Linked DNA regions of Mus musculus. The protein of the gene in region 2 purifies or fractionates together with the protein of the main gene of each other region. This does not show direct contact. Links are inferred from orthologs where the notes say so. Each region holds a gene or a part of one and is shown on either strand. Other genes may lie near its edges. The genes, in order: Psmb4 and Psmb10.

Evidence for each region.
Region 1: the proteins of Psmb10 (region 2) and Psmb4 fractionate together in Homo sapiens (co-fractionation; 4 studies listed by BioGRID and IntAct, with this or other methods). This does not show direct contact. The link is inferred for Mus musculus from reciprocal best matches to the Homo sapiens genes PSMB10 and PSMB4.

The regions. Positions count from the first base shown.
Region 1 is NC_000069.6:94,883,920-94,888,181, forward strand, and holds Psmb4 (proteasome subunit beta type-4), read right to left. Parts: upstream 3,040-4,262; 5' UTR 2,990-3,039; coding exon 2,850-2,989; intron 2,729-2,849; coding exon 2,522-2,728; intron 2,303-2,521; coding exon 2,156-2,302; intron 1,823-2,155; coding exon 1,741-1,822; intron 1,115-1,740; coding exon 998-1,114; intron 841-997; coding exon 752-840; intron 522-751; coding exon 509-521; 3' UTR 405-508; downstream 1-404. UniProt on the Homo sapiens protein: Non-catalytic component of the 20S core proteasome complex involved in the proteolytic degradation of most intracellular proteins. This complex plays numerous essential roles within the cell by associating with different regulatory particles.
Region 2 is NC_000074.6:105,935,381-105,939,974, forward strand, and holds Psmb10 (proteasome subunit beta type-10), read right to left. Parts: upstream 3,013-4,594; 5' UTR 2,631-3,012; coding exon 2,575-2,630; intron 2,387-2,574; coding exon 2,299-2,386; intron 2,212-2,298; coding exon 2,114-2,211; intron 2,002-2,113; coding exon 1,861-2,001; intron 1,602-1,860; coding exon 1,486-1,601; intron 1,375-1,485; coding exon 1,316-1,374; intron 768-1,315; coding exon 616-767; intron 526-615; coding exon 414-525; 3' UTR 348-413; downstream 1-347. Other genes in the region: Lcat (phosphatidylcholine-sterol acyltransferase precursor), read right to left, coding at 4,192-4,594. UniProt on the Homo sapiens protein: The proteasome is a multicatalytic proteinase complex which is characterized by its ability to cleave peptides with Arg, Phe, Tyr, Leu, and Glu adjacent to the leaving group at neutral or slightly basic pH.

The DNA.
Region 1 (4,262 bases), on a different chromosome or scaffold from region 2:
CAAAGCCAGGGCCTTTAATCCCAGCACTTGGGAGGCAGGCGGATTTCTGAGTTTGAGGCCAGCCTGGTCTACAAAGTGAGTTCCAGGACAGCCAAGACTATACAGAGAAACCCTGTCTTGAAAAACCAAAAAAAAAAAAAAAAAAAGGAAAATAATTGAGAAAGACAACCTCTGGGCACACACATTAAGACTTAAATGGTTCTCTCCAGGAAAGGAAACAGCACGGACATGGTACAAAGCAGTACTTGGTAGCTGAGGTCTCAATGTGACCATGTTAGAATAAACACTGAATTGCCAGCTATGCCAGAAGCTTTTACCTCTAGCTTTTGGGAGGCAGATTTCTGCGTTCCAGGCAAGCCTGGGCTACATAAATCCTGTTTCAAAACACAAAATCCAACTCAGCGAACACTTCAAACGACTGATTTATTTTACAAAAGTCTGCCTTTGAGCCAGCTACAGTCACGTTTAGAAGAGCAAAGCTTCAACACTCTGGACATTCAACTGGATTTCATTCAAAGCCACTAAAGAAAGAAGAAACATTTAGGGAAAATGAAGGCGGATAAAGGCATCAACTTCTGAAGGAGCTCCCCATTTCCAAGACCACCCACCTGGAGAGTTCCCCCGCCCCCAACCTGGAGAGGTTCCCTCCAAAACCACCCACACAGAGTTTCTGCTTGAACCCTCCAGAAGAGCCATTCTGTAAAAGTCAAGAGCTTCCCTGTGTCACCGATCCCTACTGTAGCTTGCTCACCTGATCATGTGAGCGATGTCCCAGTTGGTCTGTGCGGACAGCGGTCCTTCTATCTCGACACCCTTTTCAGTCACAGTGGCAATTTGAAACTGAAAGAAGGCAAAGCGTGCAATGATAGCGTCTCACTATGTAAACCAAGCTCGCCTCAAATGCAGAGTCCCACCCACCCCTGTTTCCCTACTGGGATTAAAGGCATGTGCCACCATGCCTGGCTCCAGAATTTGTACCTTCCAGCCCATTTCTCACCCGGTTATACGAACGGGCATCTCTGTAGTACAGCACTCTCATGCAGCGCTCCACAAGCTCCCGAGCCTCAGTCTGACTCAGCACTGGCTGCTTCTCTAGAACTTCTCGAAGCAGAGGCTACACAGGCGGGCAAAACATTGGAGAAATTAGACTGGCTTAACAGAAGGCAACCTACTCTAACCCATGTAAACAGGCACCAAAGTGGATGAGTTTTCTACCCACTGTTTCAAAAGAATTAGGTGCTGGCTTTGTTTGTTTGACATTGAATTCTTTTGTATGGGTATGTGCACATGCACGCAGAAGTGAGAAAACAGCTCTTAGGTGCTGGTTGTCTCCTCCACCATGGTGACCCCAGGCTGCCTGTCAGCCTTGGAAAGTGACTTAACCCAAGGAGTCTTTGTTTTGTGTTTGAAATAGTCTTGCTATGCAGCCTACATACATGCAGTCTTGCTATGCATGGTCCTCCTGGCCTCAGCCTCCTGTGCACTAATATTACAGATATGTGCCACCATGCCCAGCTAAGACTCTCTTAAAAGTGGGGAAGCCTAGGGCTGCCACTGTTTCCATTCCAAGGCTGTTTCTTGTCACTGGAAGTTAATGTAAACGTATTCTCCTTAGACAAAGAAAACCAGCTGCCCAACGTTAGGATTCCAGCCTCTCTTATCAAAATTCCAAGGGAAAGAGATTAACATTGCCTTCTCATTTCTATTTCTCTTCTCCCCATCGCTAGGCCCACTACTTACCTGAGCCAAGTATGCACCATAACCAGTGGCCAGTGAAGGGGCTTCATAAGCTACACCAAGCATGTCCACATAACCGAGGAAGCTAGAGGGACAAACACATCAAAGAACTGATCTAATCTTCCATTTCTTAGCTGTGTCCATTAGGTCTGAATTAAAAGATGGAAATTCTCTGGGGTCAAAGTGCCTGAGGGTGGGGAAGCAGGATAGCTCGGTGGTGAGGGCACTTGCCAGCATGCCCGATGACCCAAGTTTGATCTCTAGAATCCACAATGCAGAAGATGCATGCACACACAAACACACACACAGTACTACACAAGCACAAATACCAAAAGAAGTGTAAAGAACCATTCTGTTTAAAGACTGAAGAGACACTACATAGGTGCTAGGTTAGGCGGTCAAGGAAGTTATCAAATACCTTTCTCCGTCAGCATAGCCTCCAATGACCATGGTGTTCCACAGGGGATTCATCTTGGAGCGGCGGCTGTACATGGCTCTTGTCAACCATGAATGAATAGCTCTAGGGCTATAGCTGTGTCCATCTCCCAACAGCTCTTCATCAATCCTTAAATACAATTGAGAAAGCAATGATAACAGGTCAGGCTCCCCATCCCACTCCCTGTTCTACACACAATTCTACAATCCAAGACCACCCCCCCCAATACCAAAAAGTATTCCAAACATTCACAAATGTCTCAACAATTACCCAAAGTCTCAAGTCCCTCCATCCCGCCTACAGGAATAATAAACGGAAGGCTGTCCGCTCCACTTGGAGGCGACTTACACCATCTGGCCGAGAACTTGTTTCAAATACTGGAAATCAGCGTAGTCTCCCGAGGCACCCAGCATAGTGCTGTCGTTGACTCGCATAATACGAGAGATATTGCGGAAACGAGCCAGGGAGCCGTAGGAGCCCAGCATGTCTGCAGCAATCACCACTCCGCCGTCGAACTTCACCCCGAGTACCGATGTCCCGGTCACCATGGGGTTCCTGAATCGTGAAAAGGGTCCCTGAGCGCGAGGCCGGAGCCCCGATTGCTGGCGCCCGCGCATCAGAGGTCCCCGCATCCCGGCCCGCCGCCCATTCCCGGCGCGGTGAGAGCGCGACTCACTGGGTCCGAGTGATGGGACCCTCGCAGGGCGCCGACGCCGGGTCCATGAGGCCGCTGGGGGTGGCCGGGATGCGGTAAAACTGCCCTGGAGCCGGACCCCCGGCCCAGTGGCCAGCCCGTGACTCCCAAAACGCTTCCATCTTAGTCACCTCAGCCGACAGAAATGAAAGCGCTAGCGTCACCGGAAACGGAAGTGGTCCTTTGCCACGCCTCTCTTCTTCCTGCCTGCCTCTTCCATGGGTCAGGACTCCGGCTCTGTATTTATAAAGCCGTTTGAGGAGTCCTGGTCCAGAGTAGCCGCCAAGACTGACAGAAATGCACAAGGCCGCATCCCCGTATCCCACTGCAGTAGGGATGCCTAGATCCCAGTATTCTGACAATTCAGGAGGAGCAGGCCGTGTGGGACAAGCACCAGGACCTGTTACCATGTGCTTTTTGGATCAATATCAAAAACAAGGCTTGAAGAATCACTGGACCCAAGCTCTCTTACTGTTTTACTTCTCAGAGCCGGCCAATAGAGCAGGCATTATCAACTTATTTGATAGATAAGAAGCCGAAGCATAAGATACAGTGGTTTACCCCGTTACAGTCAATAAAAGGTAGAAAAGATACAAACCAAGGGGAGAGATGGCCCACGTTTATAGCACTGGGGTTCGAATCTAAGCACCCACGGGGTGGCTGACAATCACCTGTAACTCCTCTTCTAGCCCTGAGGGCACCAGGCACTTATGTGGTGAACAAGGGGGGGTGGGGGGGAGAGAAGAGGGAGAAAGAGAAAAATCTTAGTATTCAGAAGGCTGGAACAGAAGGAATGCCTCCAGTACAAGACCATTCTGGACTACACTCAGAGTCCAGGACAACCTGAACTACTGAGAGATCTTGTATTAAAAGAAAAAAGAATCCACAGTGAACTAGAGGCAGTGGAGGAATTCCCCTGCCCCCTCAAGATAGCATACAAAACAATAGGTTTCATTACAGCCTTTTCATCCTAGATGTCGTTTTACTCTACCCTCACTGGTGCCCATCTCAGTGCCTTCCCTGTCTTCCTGCTTCCTCCTCCCTGTCTAAGAAGACCCTTCGTGCTTCCACTGACACGTGTTCTATTACCTTCTAATCCTTCACCCGGGTCCCTAAAGAGCCTTTTCCTTATGAGCACCTTTCTACTTTCCTGACCTAATACACACATACAAACACACCTAGATTCCACATATGAGAGAATATTGATGTTGAAGTTCTGACCCAGAACAATTGGCTGAGGTGCATATTTAACATATTCAAGTCGACATAGCCTCCAGGTTCTCCCAGCATCCCTCAGTCCCTACCTGGCACAACCCACCCTTTACTCTGAACTTTTCCAGCCCAGGGGCCAGGATTCCCCTCCCCACAGAGGCTCTTTCCTATATAATCCAGACA
Region 2 (4,594 bases):
TGCTCTATCAGCATTTTAGCCTCCTAAGGTCCCAGGGTAGCTGGTGGAAAAAGGTGGTTACTGATAAGAAAGGGAAAGGCTAACAGTGGGGATTGTCCATCGGGGTCTTCCAAGACAGGGTACTGGTGGGGTAAGTTTCTACCATATGGAACTATGGTTTGGGGATGACAGGATATAGCTTTCTACCCCAAAGCTTATAGTCCTGGGCTTCTGCACGGATAGATCCCTGAGGTGAGGAGGAGGAGGACCTCAGGCCAAGAACTGGGTCTGTCGTCCTTAGGTGAATACCTCAGCCACAAAACTCCTACAGATGCTTGGCTCACTCCTCTCAAGAAAGACACAGCCTTCTGTTTAAGTGTTTGTGTTTCCCGGATTTATTCACCCTCATTCCAAACTCTACATCTCAGGCCACTTCATTCCACCTCCATGGCCTGCACAGTTTCCTCAAGAAGTTCCAGGGTCAGGGGTCTCACTTCCCGGGTCAGGACAGGTGTGGTTCCAGGAGCAAATCGGTAACGGCCAGCTCTAGAAGGGAGGAGGGCCAGCCTTTTAGAATGCAGCCTGTCCATGCACACGTGTGAACACACACAGAGCCCTCCCTTCCTGTGCTCTTACCTCTGCACAGGCTCGGTGGGGGTGCTCAATGCTCTCTGCAGCTTGGCACCCCCTGCAGTGATCACACAGGCATCCACATTGCCCCCAGAGCCCAGGTCACTCAGGATCCCTGCTGTGATGGCTTCCACCAACAGCTCTTGCGCAGCCTCCAGCTGGGTAGTGGAAATGAGGTTAAATGGACCTAGTGTTACCACACTCTAACCAGGGGACTTGTTAATCTTGAAGTCTAGACAATTTGCTCTTTATGTAAGCTCAACCTCCTTTCTCTCCATCCATTGAAAATTCCAGTCCCTTGGCTTCTGACCCCCTCTCCTCCAAAACTGTGTGCCCTCCACTCACTGTCCTCTGTACAAACTTCTCAGTGTTGCTTACATGTACCCCCCCCCAAGTTGTCTTCCCACCCAGTCTGTCACGTGTTTCTCTCTGGGCCTTAGTTATCTCTGAAGCACATAGTCACTTACTTCTATCCCACTCCCAAGTCCAATCTCAAACATCATTTACCTCTTCCTTCAGTAATGATCCGTTGTGAGCTTCTGCTTCTCTCTGTGGTCTAAGCTTGGTTCCTGACTGGCCCTCCCATCTTCAACTTTACTCAGTCCCTACTCAGTTGTCCCCTTCACACCTACAAGCCTTTCTTATTTCTATACTTGGCTAGGGTTTTTCAGCACTCCCCGCCAGTGAGCATGAAGAAGTCGCTCACCGTCATGTTTGGCTGGAACCGGTCTTCCAACAGTGCCACGGCTGCACCCTGACCAGAGCCTGCAGGTGGGAAGGGGCATCCGAAGTCAGTTGTTAGCTGCGGAGGTACAAACCTTGAAGGTGGGGTTGCAGGAGCAGGATTCGTGTGATTTAAAGGGTGGAAGAGCTCACCAAGGGCAGTAAAGGGCAGACGGCTGTAGGAACCATGTGGGTGCACCTCGTAGAGCTGAGGTCCGTTCAAATCAACCCCGCCCACGACCAGTGATGCCCCCACGTGGCCTTGGTACCTGTGGAGGAGCAGGCAGGGTTAATGTTAGCAGACAGGCCCCGCCCATTACACTGCCTTTTGGTCTGAGTCCCACCCCTTCCTTTGGCCTGGCGTCCTGCAATTGACGCTGCCTCTTCCGGAACTCAGCTTGGTCTGTCTTCTTCCGGTCTCCCTGCAGGTCGCAGCCCCGCTCCCCCCCACTCCACGTCCCGCCTCCTGTCAACTCCACCCACCTGCAGATACCCCGTTTAGGGGTCATCTTAGCCCCACTTGCTCACCGGAAAAGCGTCTGGCGCAGGATACGGGTGACCGTGGCCACCCGAGGCTCACGGCCGGTGGACAGCGCATGTAGTTCCATCTTGGAAGCTGCCATCCGCGTAGTCATCTCAGTGTCCGCAGCTACTCCAGCCCCACAGCAGCTAAGGGACAAAGGGATGGTGGATGTGGACAGGGACGTGCAGGGACAAAGTAGGGAGTGAGCGACAGTGCAGCTTATGTTTGAATATGGGGACTGGTCCGGGGCATACTGACTAGATTTTAGGGGCGATGAAGTGGATCTTCTCGCAGCTTTTGTCCGCCACAACCGAATCGTTAGTGGCCCGCGTGTCCGCTCCCAGGATGACTCCATCCTGCAGAGGCAGAGCCCAGCCTTAATGCCCACCTGATCTCCGCAGTGGCTGCCCTTCTAGCCCTCCAGCCCTTATCACCCCGCTTACTCGGAACACAAGCCCCGCGATGGTAGTCCCGGTCTTGCGTGCATGAGGAACCCGAAGTCCCGGAAGGACGTGTTCCAAGGACGCATTCCTGGAAACATTGGGGTGACTCGCGTTTCAGTTCTGCATCAAGGGAGGGTCCCTGAACCGGTCCCCAAACCCATTTCTACTCATCTCCTGGCTTAAGCCCCTACTTGGTCACCCAACATAGGGTTCCCCCACTCCACCAATAAAACAAGGCACCAGCAGTTCGTGACTAGAACTCCACTCCCCTTTCACCTCTGGCAGTTCTCGAAAGAGAAGCCTCCTGTGGGTTCCACTGCCTGCTTCAGCATCTCGCAGGAAGGCCAAGTGAGAATGCGGGGGTCTCGATGAGTGGATCAGCCAGGGGGAGCAGAGGCGTCTGTCCTGGCTTCTGTGGGGTTTTTCCGGACGCTTCCTACTTTCGCTTTCACCCCCACCCTAGTTCAGAGGCTGTTGGCTGCTGTGTGCATCTTCTCTTTCACTTTCGTCTTTGCTGCTAGTCCCAGATAACTTGAGGAAGGGGCTATTACACTCCTTGCCAGACCTATGGTGCGCCTTAGATCCTCCATTCCCATCTCTGCTGACACCCCCTGAGCACTGCAGGCACATACATGTATTCAGGTAAAACACTCACACACATAACCCCTTAAAAGTAAGTAGAAATGAAGCCCTTGCAGGCTTAGTTATGTGTGTGAGTGAATGTGGTATGTGCATGCCACATGCCCACCAAGGTCAGAAGAGGGCATCAGATTCCCTGGAACTGAAGTTACAGATGATCATGAGCCACCATGTGGGCGTGCCACCACGTGGGCGTTGGGAACCAAACTCAGGTCCTCTCCAAGTGCAAAAAAATGCTCTTAACTTCTGAGTGCTTGCTCTCTCTCTCTCTCTAATGTCTCACATTAAATCTTCTTTAGATGAACTGTCTTTTCTTCAGATCCTAAACTTTTTTTTTGGGGGGGGGGGGCGCTTGAAAAACTGTTTTTCAGTGTAGTTGAGTGTAGCCCTGTCTGCCCTGGAATAAGCTCTGTAGACAAGGTTGGCCTGGATGAGAAGATTAAAGGCATGTGTACCACCACGTGGCCCTAATTTTTTAATTTTTTTATGGCTTATTTTATGTGCGTTGGTGTTTTGCCTGCATGTCTGTGTGAGGTGTCAGCTCCCCTAAAACTGGAGTTACAGACACTTGTGAGCAGCCATGTGGGTGCTGGGTATTGAACCAGGGTCCTCTGGAAAAACAGCTTCTTTCAACAGACGCTGAGCCATCTCTCTAGCCCCATTTATTTGTTTGTTTTTTCGAGACAGGTTTTCTCTGTATAGCTCCGGCTGTCATGGAATCCAAGTTCTTACATTAACAATCCCCAGCCCCAATATCTTAAATTCTATTTATTTGTTTGTGTTTTGGGGACAGAATCTCTGTGGTCTTGGCTGTCCTGGAACTGTGTGTATCAGAGTGGCCTACAGAGATCTGCCTGCCTCTGCCTCCCAAGTGTTGAGTTGAAGGCGTGCACCACCATGCTTTATTATAAATTTCTGTATCCAACCAGAACTCAAAAGTCGACTTCAAATCCTATTTCTCTGTGTCCCCATTCTAACAGCCATATACCCAGATCTGAATATTGTCCTGGGCCCCTAAGAAGGAAGCCACAGAGCAAGCTTCCTGAGCAGCTCAACTAGGACAATGAAAATCTATTTACATATCTCAAAGTCAGTCCAGTCTGGGGCCTTAGCAAAGCCCACTGAACCCCGTGTTCCCCTAAGCCCAGATCAAGCATGCATCAGCCAGGTGATGCAGGTTATCTAAGGAACCTAGTAGTGCCTTCCCCTTAACCCATAACAAACACCCTGCACTTATTTATAACAGCTAGGTCTTTATTCAGGGGGTGGGGGACTTGGGCTGGCAGCTGGCGACTTAGGAGTGCGGTAGGCACCCAGTAGGATGGCATTGATATGCTCCAGTGTCTTATTGCTGAAGACCATGTTGAGGTGATCTGTCTCGTTCATGGGCAGCAAATGTACGGGCTGCGACTGGCGGCCCTGCCACTGGCCACAGAGCTCAGTGCTGCGGGTGGCTACGGTGTCGTCCCCATCTTCATAGAGTGCAGCCACGGGGTCTTTGTAGGGGAAGTTGTGGTCATAGATGTAGGTGTGGGGTGTGGGTCTGCCCACACCGTAGAGACAATATACTTCTACACCAGGTGCGGGGAGGCGCTCCAGTAGGTCACGAGACTGAAGAAACATGTGCCAGCCTTCTTCAAAATGCAGATCTGTGAAA